Linked DNA regions of Styela clava. The protein of the gene in region 1 interacts with the protein of each later gene in a pairwise test. Links are inferred from orthologs where the notes say so. Each region holds a gene or a part of one and is shown in the gene's direction. Other genes may lie near its edges.

Region 1 (8,037 bases):
TTCCTTGGCGACAATTTAGTCGCTTGTGATTCTTGTTTATTTTGAGCTCTGTACAACGACCCCGATAAGAGAGAGGTCGCTGACGTATTGAGTTTGTTGACATACTCGTAGGCGCCATTACGGGGGACCGTCGCTATACTTTGGCAAGCTGTATTTCGTTATTGTGACGTCGCAGTGACGTAATTTTTGGATGACGTCATCAGGTGGGGGTCAGGAATCATATATCCAAAAATTGTTACGCCACGCCCACTAGAAGTTATTCAGGTAAGAAAGTACATGAGACCCCAGATTTGTTGAAGAACAAAAGATTGAACTGTTAGTGAGGTGGACGCAAAAGAATGGAAAAAATGCAACTTTCCAGATATTGAGAGATCTTGTTTCACAATATTATGCCTCTGAAGTTGAAGATGTTTCTGTAACCAGGGAAAGACTGGAAGATGTTTTTCAAAATATTGTTGACCGATTTTCAACTACTGAGTTTAAGGAATTTGCTCGATCAGCGAAGAGTGGTTTAAACCTTCCTGAACATACTATAGCCACTATGAATGAAGATAACAGATTTTCAATGGAAGAATGTAAACTTTCAATGCTTTGGGAATGGAGATACAGAACACATCATCTAAGTACTGATGATACAGTTGTCACCAAAAATATAAGAAAGCTGGTAGAGGCCTATATTACTTATTGCATTCCGAAACTTCAAGGGGATGAGGAGCATCAATTTATCAACAAACCAACAGAAGATCGGGAACTAGTCACAGAAAAGCCAAGTGTAGATAAGCTTGGACAATCTCAAATGATACCAAGTGAAGGAGGTGTTATACCATTCCAAGAAAACTCAAGTAAAGCTTTTGCTCTGCAACCCCCAATAGTCCTGAAAAAAAGTAGTTTTGAGGCGACTATGTCTGGTAAAAATGATGATGTACTAACATCAAGCAAATGGGCCCAAAAAAGTGAGGAATTATCTTCTAATAGATTCAAAATGTCTGCCGATGTAGATTTGAGAAGTATGGAATTTTGCAGAGTTCTGGACGAGTATATGAATCGTATGTTAGCCTATGAATTGAAAATATTTCAAGAAAAAGGGAATATTGACGTCAGTCTTCCAATGGTGACTGCATTATTAGATGATTCAAAAAATGTTGATGTTACAAGGATCCATGCTGATGATTCGGTCAACCATGTCATGTTGCTAGGTGACACAGGCTCTGGAAAAACAATATTTGCTTTGAATTATGCAATGATGGCTTCGAAGAAGAAGTTGGTGTTTTCCGCTGAGATTAAGATGGTCTATTATGTGGATGTTTCTAAGTTATACAGCAAACAAAGAACAACTCCTTTTGATCTTCTGTTTGTCCAACAGCTTGGATCGGAACTTCCTGAATACCTACATGATTCCGGATCAAACTGGTTGAAACTGAATTCATCAAATGTTTTGCTTGTATTGGATGGATTGGACCAAAATCAAACTCCATTAGAAGGTGATTATTCCAAAATTGGAGTGGACACTGTAGCAGATACCAACACAATTATCGCTAATGTATTATCCGGGCATATTTACCAAGGAATTAAATTATTATCAACATCACGCTGGCATGCATATTGGAAATTGCCCCCAAACATGAAAACCCCAAGAACCGTGGTCTTAAAAGGATATGATATAGGAAAAGTGCATCAACTTGTAGAAAATATATTTGGCTCCAAAAGTGAAAGCATGATTTTCGTCTGGAAAATATATGGGGCATTTGACCTTTTTTCAAACCCCTTGTTCATGAGATACATAACTGAGACTTATAAAAATCCACCAAAAGGTGCTGATGTGAATATCACAACTACGATGGTTTCAATTATGAGACTTTTCTCAGGATCTCGTCATAAAGGAAATGTCCAAAGTCTTGTGCCAAAAGGCATGAAGTTGGCTTTTCTTGGGATGATAGAGAATCGATTTGTTTTCACAGCAAGGTATATTGAGTCACTCAACCTGGATATGAGTGACATGCGTGGTCTTGTTGAGATGGATGCTGACACCCGATTTGTTGAGTATGTTGCCGACGATAATGATATGAGAATACGCTTTCTACACCCGCACATCCAAACGATACTTGCTTCCTTGTATGCTTGCAGTCTTGACTTGGAGGAATTCAAGAAGTTTATCGAGGATAATTACAAAAAATCTGGAATGGAAGTTGTTATAAAACATATTTTTATAATAATTCTCAACAAATCCACTGCAAAAAAAGCATCAAAATTTCTACCAGATAACTTGCATAGTAAGTCTGAATACCTGCTTGAATACTTGGGTAAATTATTGGATCAAAAAGTGATTTCGGATGAACTACTAGTTTCCATATTGCATGAATGTGGCCCAGATGTCTTCAAACAATTTACAACCAATGCAGAAGAGTTTGATTTCACAAAAACTTCTCTGCATCCTGGCGAACGAAATACATTGTTGTCCATCGCAAATAATGCTGTGTCATTAAAGTCCATTCGAATGACAACATTTGAAATTTGCTCGACAAATTTGCCACTCATGATATCACTACTCAGTTGTAATATTAGCATCCTGATTACTCTTCTTGAAATTATTGGTATGGATTGCAAAAATCTTCAAAAATTAGGTGAAGCTATAAAAAATGGCGTATTAACTGCTCCTACTATTCATTTAAAGAATACAACAATACTGGAACCAGCAGCATATTTCTTATTTGTCCAAGTGTTGCACCTTTGTGGATCTCGTTCTCTGATTTTGAATGACAATAACTTGAGTTCTGAAAAGATAGTAGAACTCAACAATGCATTTGTGGAATATAATGTGATTTTGGATGATTTACGAATTCATAGTCATTCTATAACAAATTTAGAAGAATTTGAGCTTCTTGCAGAGCTATTGAATAACACCAAAACCACAGTGTTTACAGCTATGGGTATATGTGCAACATATGATCGTTTGTCATCATTTTGCACTGCTCTACAGCAAAAGCAAGTTACATTTTCTTGCTTGAACAACAGAGGAATTGTGTCAATGTCCCCTACTGATGATGAGATCTTTGTGATGTCGAGGTTAGCTCAAAAAGTTCACAAATGCTTGTCGCTGGGCCCCCTGAAAATGAATAAATCACAAAAAAATATTTTGCTCAAAGAGATTGGAAAATTCTCAATAGAACGGTCAGCCCTTTCACTCGATCAAAACATCAAATTGTTTTCTATACTCTGGTCAAGAGAGAATAAGATAGATGCTAATGAACCTTTGGTCGAAGAAATTGGACCAGATGGTGGATTTATGTGGCTTTATGACTGCAAGCTCCTTGTGCCGCCTGGTGCTGTTAAAACAAAAACTACATTTTCTCTTTCGGTCAATAATTTCTTCGATGATTTCCCAGATGATTTACTTCCTATCACACCTGTCATTGAATGCAATCCTTCAATAACATTTGATACACCAGTTACTTTGACGATGAAAACAAATTTCTACAGTAAAAATAATCGGGAAATTCCAGTTAAAATTATGCACAAGGAAAAAGACGGGGAATGGACAATGATTAAAGATGTTAAGTTGAAAACCGAAAGTGAAATTGTGTTCGAAGTGGACCGTTTCTGCGATTTTTGCAATGGGAGTGAGAAGGACATATGTGAAAATGGAATATTTACTTTTATTAACGATCTCTACATGCAAAAACAGACAGCACAAATCATATCTGTTTTAACAAGAAATCGATCTGACCACGAAATCACAGAATCAGCTTTGAAAAAAAGAGGTTTTGTTGGAATTTTGCCTCTTGAGGAGCGATTAAACGTTGGTCTCAAATCGAAGATTGAAATAAAAATTGAATGTGATGATAATTCAGAGGTTCAACTTCCTAATATTCAGCCCCAAAACGAGATTATAGAAGTCACAAAGGATATTGTGAGACAGGGATTCTCTCATTTATGTTTTACCCCAAGTGATTCGATTCGTGACAAACGAGGACAAATCCGCATCAAGTATTCAATAATCTATTGCGAAAGAACCAGACATGTACCTGTTATAATAGTCTGGCCTATTGAAGAAAGCAAACCAGAAAATTTAAATGTGTACACTGAAATAAACACAGGATCACATGCATATGGAAATGTATTCAGAGATAATGCACATGCAGAAATACAAGAACATGGGTCAAGTCATTTTGTAATGGCAGGTGTAACACCACAATGAATCTTCCTTTCCATTGGTTCTAATGAGTTTTTCTACAAAATGTTGACCTTGAATAATTTTGTATAATGTTTGTTTTTAGAATAGAAAACTTCCATATTTTTTTTCAAGTGTTTTGTTTATATATATATTATAGTATGAAATTTATAGTTAGCGCATAGGTTTTCATTTATGTTGTATATGCTGTTATTGTAACTTTGTATATATCAAAAGCATCTGATTTTGCCAAGCAGTTATTTTGCCAGAAAAAGCTATTTGTTGAACACACTGATTTGTCTCTGACCTTTGAAATTTTTTTAATGCCATCATTGCAAAATTTTTGATGCTTATTTTGAGAGTTCGGGCTCACAAACTGGTTTACATGTTCATAGTCATGATTTTGATTTAATTATTCCCTGCTTGACGTTAAAAGTTCTTTTTTGATTTACTCCATATCTCTCGCTCCTAGTTTTTGTTTATAGCAACTGAACTAAATATCCTTGCTGACAAATTTACCATTGACTTATACATATTGATTTGAGTGGTTTTATATGCATTATTCTGTTAATTTTGTTTAGGTTAATTCTGTTAAGGTATGCAGGTCAGGTTATCACATCACTTTCTAATTTATAACTTGCACATTTTTTAAGGTTTTATAAAGAAAATAGAGATGGGTTTATGAAATATATTACCTAATGCTTGTTTATTGACACTATGCCATTTTCTAACCATGCAAATTCCGCTGTAAATTTTTATGCAAGTTGACTTACCACGCCTAGTTCATATATTGCATAGTACATGTATATATTTTTGTGTTTTTAGTTTATGAAATAAGCTTAGTGCTATAGTATGGCAGAATATGCCGAGCATGGGGATTTAAAATTAGACGATTCCGATGTTTCTGAAGCGAATACGTCAAAAAGAAGCAACACCTCTATGCATGAAGAAAGTTTTGATGAAAAACCAGGTAATTTACTTTATGCCTTCGCTCTGACAAGGTTTTAAACTGATGTTACCAGGTCAGGTAGAAATGTTGCTGTAGTATACTAATATTCTTTAGTTGATATTATTAGTATAATACTTATTTATACATACAATATTAAACAGTGGTTCTCAAACGGCGCAGCATGCCCCGCAAATAAAAATATTTGTTAGGTTTAATCTTGTCCGTCCTTAATTTGCATATTTACTTATCTTTATTATTGGAGATTGCAATTTCATCCACATTATTCAATGTGTTTTTTGAATAAAATATACTTTTGCCTCACTATCTGTTATTTGTAGCTTTTCTATTTTTGAGGTGAGGCGCAAGACTTGGAAAATTCTAAAATAGGCGCGGCTTGGAAAGTTTGAGAACCTCTGTTATTTATCACAAGTGATGAACAGGGACTTTTTTTAGTAAAGGAATGCTAGAAGCGGTTTTGCTTCTAACATTGTAGTCCCCTTCAACTCCTCTGTGGCCCCTTGCATAGGCCCCAGGCCCCCGGTTGGGAGCCGCTGCTTTAGGAGGTATCTTTATTTTCAGGTTCTTCAAAATTAAAAAGAAAGTTTGGTTCGCCATCAGGACCTCAAGAAAGCCCAAGCAAAGGAGACAAAAATACATCAATTTCATCGAAAGAATCACCAAAGTATGTCTAAAGAAGCTAGTTAAAAGAAATTTACTATCAAAATTTTTCAATTTCCCAGTAAAACATCTAGATGTGAATTTTTTCCCCTCTAAGTGTGGCTGAGCGGAATAATCTCATCTGAATTAATCCAATGCCGGTGCTGCCGCATGCCACTTTGTAATTTCTCAGGTTAGATGTCTAGACTAGACCTGATTTTTTTCCACTGAAAAGTGACTGAGCAGAATAATCCCATCTATTTAATCTAATACCGCTGCTGCCATATTTCACTTTCTAATTTCCCGGGTTAGATATCTAGACTTTATCTGAAATTTCCCATTGAAGCGTGAATGTGTGGAATATTCTCATCTAATTAAGCTAGTGCCGGTGCTGCCATATTTTATTTTCTAATTTCTCAGGCTAGATATCTGGACTAAACCCGAGTTTTTATCATTGAAGCGTGAATGAGCGGAATAATTTCATCTAATTGGGCTAATGCCGGTGCTGCTCTATTCCACTTCTCCAATTTCCAATTGGAGCGTGACTGGGCAGAAAAATCTCATGTTATTAATCCAATATCAGTTATATCATATTTTACTTTCAAATTTTTTATTTATTTTCAGAAAAGATCCTACGTCAGCACAACAGGCAACTGCTGATGAAATATTATCAGCGAAACGAAAAAAAGAAAAATCAGGAAGAGTTGAAAGAATGAAAATGCAGTAAGTTGGAAATTTAAATTTAGTTATATTTTACAGCAGCTCTGATGTTCTCATGAATTTTGTTTTGTAATGTTCTTCATGAATTCTTTATGAATTTTATAATGTTTTGAATTTTGAACCAACTCCATGGAAACATGCCAAACTACGATCATGCCATTTCTCCTGTATATGCTTTGTATTATATTTTAACGAACTGATTGGATTATTTGGTTGCATTAAGATGGTCTTTTGTAACAGTTGTATTTACATTAGGTTAAATGTGTTATGCGTTCACAAACAGTGAATTTATATAGATAATAGATGACACTCAAGTTGGTGATCTGTAAAGAATCTGCTCATCAGACTTCCCAACATGCTCAAATCTTTTCTTTAAATTTGTTTATTTTTAGGCGACTTGTGACAGCTTTCTCTGAAGACCAATTAAACAGATATGAAATGTACAGACGTTCATCGTTTCCAAAAGCTTCAATAAAACGATTAATGCAATCCATCGCTGGATGCACAGTATCACAAAATGTGGTGATAGGAGTTGCTGGAGTGTCCAAAGTAAGCTCGTCTTTATCTTTGTATTGGAATAGTTCAGGGCATAGATTCTCAAAGTGCGGAAAAACCTTGGTGCTCCGCAAGCCATTCATTTACTTATTAAAATACTGACTTGGCTAATTTTGTAACTGTCCAAAGAATAACGGCATTAATAAAATTTGACAACAGTAGCGTTGAAATGTGGAAATAAGGTGGTAATTTAAATATGACATTATCTATAAGTTCCAATAGAATAGATAATAGTTTCTAAAAAATTCATGGTGGGGCACTGTAAATAAATATTCAGGCCCTTGACAGGCTCCATAACACCAACAGTTCAAGAAACCCAAGTTTAGGATTAAATCTTTCACAAAAAATCTCATGGATTCGAATTTCTTAACAAATTATTTGAGAAAATTACTTTGAAGTCCAATATTTCTCTTGCTCTCATTACTGGAAATAATTGGCCAACTGTCAAGTCAGTTTTCCATTCACTAGAATCTGATACAATTTTTCTGATTTTGTTGTTTCCTATATTTTATCAGGTTTATGTCGGTGAAATCATGGAGATAGCACTTGATGTTATGGAGCAACAAGGGGAAACGCCTCCAGTGAAACCAAAACATATTCGTGAAGCAATCAGAAAATTAAAAGCCAGAAGAACTTTCCCGTTTTCTAAACTGAAGACTAACCCATTATGATGCCTGTATTTGAATTGTTTTGCCGAAGGCCGAATCCTACCAAGCCTGTCCTGAATGGCTTTTCTGGTTAAGAGATGGGTACATTGCTGTCAATTTCCTATCAGAATCATGAAAAAATGGACTTTTGTGATGCTTCATGACATAATCTTTCAGAATCAGAACTGTTTATTTTGGAATTATAGGGTGTCCATGAGGTCTTAATTTTTTTTAATTGCAAAGGAAATTTATCAATGCACTATATTGTTTTGGCCCTCACAGATGTATCAAATGTAGGACACCCTGTATATTGGGAATATTGTTAAGAAATATTACACCGT
Region 2 (7,084 bases), on another chromosome or scaffold:
CACAGCGCCCCCAGTGTCCCCAATGCCAAAATACCAAATAAGGCAATATTATAACATGACAGCATTTAACAGATAAAACAAGGGTCGTCACACATGTAATCTGTGTAGTATTTCAAAATTTTGGGTTCACGAACAAATGTTATGTGCTTACTTTTAACTCTGGTATATATGTTTTTTTTCAAATTTCCATGTATCAACCGAATCAATAGATATACCAGCCGAAACAAAAGAGCTATGCTTAAATATATGGACACGTAGCGCCACCTAATGGCAATAATTTTGATGACGTCATAGCAAAAAAAAAGTAATAGCCTTCTGAAGAAAATTTTTATCTTCAACCACTGAAAATTTTAAAGCAATTGGTCCAGTAATCAAAGAGAAAAGCGATTTCTTCAAAACGTGTCAAAGAACAACAAGAGAGCTACGCACAAATATATGGACACGTTAGACCAGAGCGAATCAGTCCTTACCGGTACCTTTGACGCTACCGGTACCCTCAAAAAAGTTCTGAATTTCCAGTAGCAAGAATTTTGCAGAATCAAAACGTACAGCCAGTCATGACACTGACTAAAATCCGTGTTCCCATGGATAAAAAATAATACAGCAAAATTTTAGACGAAATATCAAATTTCATAGAATTCATGCAAAATTTTGAAATAAATAAAAGTAATAGCCTTCTAGCAAAAAAATTACTCTTTAACCACTGAAAATTTCAAAGCAATTGGTCCAGTATTCGAAGAGAAAAGCGACTTTTTAAAAATGTGTCAAAGAACAACAACAACAACAACATAATATTGAAACGATCGTTATGTCCACTACGTGTCCAACAAGAACAACACAAGAGAGCTACGCACAAATATATGGACACGTCAGACCAGAGCGAATCAGTCCTTACCGGTACCTTTGACGCTACCGGTACCCTCAAAAAAGTTCTGAATTTCCAGTAGCAAGAATTTTGCAGAATCAAAACGTACAGCCAGTCATGACACTGACTAAAATCCGTGTTCCCATGGATAAAAAATAATACAGCAAAATTTTAGACGAAATATCAAATTTCATAGAATTCACGCAAAATTTTGAAATAAATAAAAGTAATAGCCTTCTAGCGAAAAAATTAATCTTCAACCACTGAAAATTTCAAAGCAATTGGTCCAGTATTCGAAGAGAAAAGCGACTTTTTAAAAACGTGTCAAAGAACAAGAACAAGAACAACAACAACAACATAATATTGAAACGATCGTTATGTCCACTACGTGTCCAATAACAACACAAGAGAGCTACGCACGAATATATGGACACGTTAGACCAGAGCGAATCAGTCTTTACCGGTACCTTTGGCGCTACCGGTACCCTCAAAAAAGTGCTGAATTTCCAGTAGCAAGAATTTTGCAGAATCAAAACGTACAGCCAGTCATGACACTGACTAAAATTCGTGTTCCCATGGATAAACAAGAGAGCTATGCTCAAATATATGGACACGTAGAGTCACATAATTTTGATGACGTCATAGCGAAAAAAAAAGTAATAGCCTTCTGGAGAAAATTTTTATCTTTAACCACTGAAAATTTCAAAGCAATTGGTCCAGTATTCGAAGAGAAAAGCGACTTTTTAAAAACGTGTCAAAGAACAACAACAACAACAACAACACAATATTGAAACGATCGTTATGTCCACTACGTGTCCAAAAATAATACAGCAAAATTTTAGACGAAATATCAAATTTCATAGAATTCACGCAAAATTTTGAAATAAATAAAAGTAATAGCCTTCTAGCGAAGAAATTTATCTTTAACCACTGAAAATTTCAAAGCAATTGGTCCAGTATTCGAAGAGAAAAGCGATTTTTTAAAAACGTGTCAAAGAACAAGAACAACAACAACAACATAATATTGAAACGATCGTTATGGCCACTAAACGTGTCCAAAAAACGATCGTTATGTCCACTAAACGTGTCCAATAAATATATTCTATCTAAGTCAGATGTATGTTAAACCGTAGTAGTATATATTTACGGTTAAACTAGTTGAACACAAAAGCTTAAAGAAATGGTCATCGTGAGTGTGCGACACCAAAATTTAGTATAAGTCAAAATTTTAAGAAAAAATGCTCTAGACACAAAAAGAAACTTTAAAAAAAATTTAACAATAATAAGAAACAAGAGAGCTGTGCTCAAATATATGGATACGTCACAAGGTGTCGCTATTTTTTAATCTGACACATGAAAAACGAATCTATTGAAGTCCACAGCATTTTTGAAATAAGTAAAAGTAATAGCCTTCTGGCAAAAAAATCAATCTTTAACCAGTAAAAAAATTCAAAGCAATTGGTCCAGTATTCGAAGAGAAAAGCGATTTCATCATGACGAAAGAGGAGAATAATAACAACAACAACATAATATTAAAACGATCGTTATGTACACTGACGTGTCCAATAATATAATTCTTTACATATGATTTGAATAGGATAAAATAACGTAGCAGTTGAGGGAAGACAATTAGGACACAGTATTCAAAAAAGCACGTTTCATTATATTATTCAGCTGTACTTCTGTACGATTACGGAGCTTAAATTTTTATTTATTGACACATGCAACATCGAAATGCACAATCATTTTTATTCGAGAAAAATAGTACGTATTTGCAATATAACTGTGTGTTGGTTTTTAGTCAATTCGCCTCGAAAATCGTGTGAAATCGGTTCTCCAAAATTAGCGGCAACTATCCGGTTAACCGCATAGTTAAAATACGAGATACCCGGACAGGCGCGCAGCCAGGATTTTCAAAAGGGGGGGGGGGGGTTCATAATCATAAATTCCCATTGCGGTCTGTAACAGTCTTCGAATTACGCGCTCGTTAAAGGGACGTCTTTTCAGCGTATAATGATTATTCTTGTCGCGTGAAATATTCAATCTCTGACAACTACAAAATTCTAAAATGTTCTAAATTATTAAGTTAATTGTGTCCAACGTAACTCGCGGTTGCTTCTTCTTATGTCAAAATAAAAACATTAGTTCTCTGAAATGCCACGGCATCGGTGGACATAAAAATATGAGGACAAACGGTGTATTTAATTTTAATACGTATTTTTGGAATCTTGCCAACTCGTTATCGCCGTTAGAAAAATCACATTAACTGATATAAAATCCCGAAGAGTACAATTTTATTTCGTAATCAAAAATCGCCGCGATCACGCCACTTCTTAAACAACGAAAAATGATTTTTCTGTTGTGCTAAGTAATCAATTCGTGACCGATAAGGGCATATTTAAAATGTCTTGCTTTATTAATTTAATTGTCTTCAATTTAACCAGCATTTGCGTCGACAAAACAAAACAATTTTTTACAATTCACAATTTCAAAATACCTCGGCCATTTGCCGACATAAAAATAAAAATTTGTGGTAACTGCCCGTCGCCTATCATATATTGTTTTGATCCGTATTTTTTCTATTTTGCAAATTCGACAAATTTGAGATGTGCTTGTAACATTGACTTCGTTCAATCGCAATGCTGACACTCCGATTATTTTTAAAGATAAAACCTCCTGAAAAATCCGTAAATCTGCTGTGAATTCTCATGGAGTAAAATTTATTTCAGTACAATAAAGATTGATGGATATACTTCGGATTAATTATCTTATATATCATCACAAACCGGGAAAAAATCGTAAGTAATGGATAAAAGGCAAATCCCACCCACAATTAACCGTGTTTCGATTTTAGTGACGGTATGTTCCTAAACGGCGACCAAACATAATGTGCGCCATAGGCACACGAAATTTTGCGATTTTGCGACTAGAAAAGCTTTTTTAGACTGTCGCGGGACTCAACAAAACTTATATTGTTTACGGTTCTATTTTCAGTATTTTATAATGCCGCTTTTCAATCAAATTTAGATCGCGGTTTTACTCCTTCTTTTGTCTTTAGAACCTCGCCACCGATGAACGTATAATAACTCACGAATTCACAATTCCGTGCAAAGTACAAAAATAAAATAATTATCATGTTTATCGTGGCACAAATTTATGATTTAGAAAGAATAAAAACCGACGTAAGGGCGTTTACGGCCCAAATAACACGCTGATGAAAACATGGGCGATTTTAGCAGAAGGCAATTGCACGCTTTTTCAGTTTTCACATTTCCGTGCGGGTACAAAAATAAAATAGTTACCATTGTTCCCGCGGCACAAATTTGTGAGATTAGAGAGAATAAACACATGTAAAGGGCGTTCACGGAATAAATAACATGCCGCGTTGATGAAAACGAACGGCGATTTCAGCAGAAGGCAATTGCACATGTTATCGGCAACTTTTTCACTTTTCGGAAAATTCAAAAGGGGGGGGGGGGGTTCGACCCCGACCCCCCCCCCCCCCCCCCCTGGCTGCGCCACTGTAACCGGATATATCCGTTATCCGGATAGTATAAATTATAGGTATCCGAACTAACTCTAATTATATGATCTACTTGAATTTGCTGTTTTTTTTAAAGCCCCATCAAAAATGTTGCCCGATTTTGAATCGCGTTCACTCTCCTGTTTTTTTTTTTTTTTTTTTTTTTTAATTTATGTTGGGTAGTGGGTACGTGACTTTTTAACTTTATTTTAAGTTATGCTCGCATCCCGGGTATCTCTGCATTTTGTTAGTCTGTTTACTTTTTGTGTTGTTTATGCCGGAGAACCGAAATAAAATGAGTGATTGGTTTGATTATCCAACGAAATCTATGCTCGGGGTAGCAACCATTTTAGGTTTGATTTTAGATTACTGCAGATAATCGAAATTTTCACAATCAATTTTAAAATCTTTAAGTTGAATGTGGGTAAGTTAAATTTCCATTGTTACGAACTTACGATAAACCTAGTCACAAACATATCCTAAAATCCTGTTTATACACAAATGTATGCACGTAAGTTACCTGTGTCGCTTATGGCTCTATGGACTGCTCTTTGTAAAATCCAAAAAGCGGAAATCCGACGCGGCTTGTGAGATTTATGTGCGTTTTCATTTTTATAGGTATCGTTAGTAATTGCAGTAACATGTAAAATTCAGGTATTGAAAATTGAATTTATTAATTTCGGCATTCGTCTCAGACCCCCGACTAGCAGCTAACAAATTAATTTATTGCAAGCTCTCCAATAACATAAGAATTGGTGGAAATGGCAGACTCTGATGGTACAAAGCAAAGTCCTCAACATTCAAAATCTAGCAGCCAACAAGATTTAGATAAAAAGAAACGTCTGTTTTTTAAAGAAATTCGATGTATGATGTATGGCTTCGGAGATGATACCAACCCCTATACAGAATCAGCAGAACTCATAGAAGAACTTGTTATAGAATTTATAACAGAACTCACACATAAAGCATTGCAGATCGGAAGGCCTGGAAGAGTGCAAGTTGAAGACATTGTTTATCTCATACAAAAAGATGCAAGAAAATATGCCAGAGTTAAAGACTTATTAACTATGAATGAAGAACTTAAAAAAGCAAGAAGGGCTTTTGATGAAGCGAAGTTTTGATTTCCAAATTTGCACTTGAAAAAGAACTAAATGGGAAAAGAATTGTGAATATAAATGGTCCGATTGTGCAATAAACCGAATCATGTCTTACAAAGACTAATTCGTCTGTACAAAATATTTGATAATGTTTTAATCAAATCAAGAGGCCATAATTTATCATTCACTCTTTATATAAAATATTTATGTTTGTTTTGCTCTGAACAAGCAGCTATTAAGTAAGGAGCTATTATAGTTTGGAAGAACCGGATCATTCCGGTTTAGCTCTGCCTATCCAATTTATTATACCGGTACCATAGGTGTGATATCTTCATAGTTTAATCTGAAGCAGGGGTGTGCAACACTCAGCTCAACACACCTTGTCAACACTCAGATTTTCCCCACCAAGCATAAAATCCTAATCCGACAGTTTATGTTTAAAAATGCGCTCACATGGTTAAAAATATGTAATGTTTCTGTCCTCTTGTCGCTGCATTTGATTTTTGCATTGTGCGAATTTTTTAATTCGTTGTATCCATGGAAAAACCAAATTTTTTGTGCAGACCAGCTGAATGTCTGAAGTTGGTTATATGGGCCACCGACAAAAAATGTTGCACATTCCTGGACTGGAGTATAATTGTTTGAGTCTAGGCTACTCGCCTATTAGTATTTTGAATGTTTAAATTTCATTCCAATCTAAAAAATGCAAACTGGGAAGATTGCTATAACATAATTGGCACTTGATCACACTACAATGTGATGGAGATTATTCTGACCTAACTTACTCCATTAATTTTTTTTGATGATAGAGTTCGAACAATACTGATGTAAATCAAATTTTTTCAGTTTGTCTGGTGTTAACATATTTTCTGTTTTTGTTGTTTTACTTTATCTTACATTTATAGATTAACTTTCATGGTTTTTATCGTAAGTTAGTCATGTGATTTGAATCTAAGGATTGTCAAAATGTTTTACATTCCGCACAAGAATGGATGTTGTGAATAAAGCATCAGAATTTTTTGACAAGCACATTAGGATTGTGAAGGTAATTTTTGCTGTATTCTTTAGTGTATTTATTATGCCAGACTTTTTTTTATGTATTATTATTATGTTTTTAACAGAATGCAGGATATGTGATTGCTGGAATAGGTGTTTTTATGATTGTAAGAAGATCAAGACTCGTGAGTTTATATTTGCAATATCACTGTAGTCATTTATGGTAATTTTTGGATAATGATTCCATTATCTTGACATTTGTTGTTAACTAGAGTGGTAAATATATGAAACATATATGGCATCTTCACCGATTTTGATTTAAAAATGATGTTCAAAATATGGTTTTATATACTGGAAATAATTGAACTTTAACAATTGCAAATTTGCAACCCCATATCCACCAGTCAACATGAACCAATTTTCGGGGTGTTGGTAGTCCAGTAAATACACCCATAGCTCTTGTAACTGAGGTGGCCGCGGCTTCAAATCCACGCCTTGGTGTACAAAAACCTTACCGGCCTGGCTATTAGTAGTTCGTTAGCACTGAAATGAAGTTTACTTCTATTCTCCTAGTCAAAGTATTAACCTTCGAAATTCCCTCTT

The links.
Region 2: the proteins of transcription initiation factor TFIID subunit 11-like (region 1) and transcription initiation factor TFIID subunit 13-like interact in a two-hybrid assay, tested with the Drosophila melanogaster proteins (2 studies listed by BioGRID). The link is inferred for Styela clava from reciprocal best matches to the Drosophila melanogaster genes Taf11 and Taf13.

What each region holds. Positions count from the first base shown.
Region 1 is NC_135264.1:15,684,786-15,692,822, reverse strand, and holds the start of transcription initiation factor TFIID subunit 11-like, read left to right. Parts: upstream 1-4,977; 5' UTR 4,978-5,020; coding exon 5,021-5,138; intron 5,139-5,696; coding exon 5,697-5,799; intron 5,800-6,398; coding exon 6,399-6,497; intron 6,498-6,886; coding exon 6,887-7,043; intron 7,044-7,564; coding exon 7,565-7,720; 3' UTR 7,721-8,037. UniProt on the Drosophila melanogaster protein: The TFIID basal transcription factor complex plays a major role in the initiation of RNA polymerase II (Pol II)-dependent transcription.
Region 2 is NC_135258.1:9,412,154-9,419,237, forward strand, and holds transcription initiation factor TFIID subunit 13-like, read left to right. Parts: upstream 1-4,550; 5' UTR 4,551-4,812; intron 4,813-5,083; 5' UTR 5,084-5,149; coding exon 5,150-5,509; 3' UTR 5,510-6,391; downstream 6,392-7,084. Other genes in the region: protein C3orf33-like, read left to right, coding at 6,474-6,530, 6,607-6,666.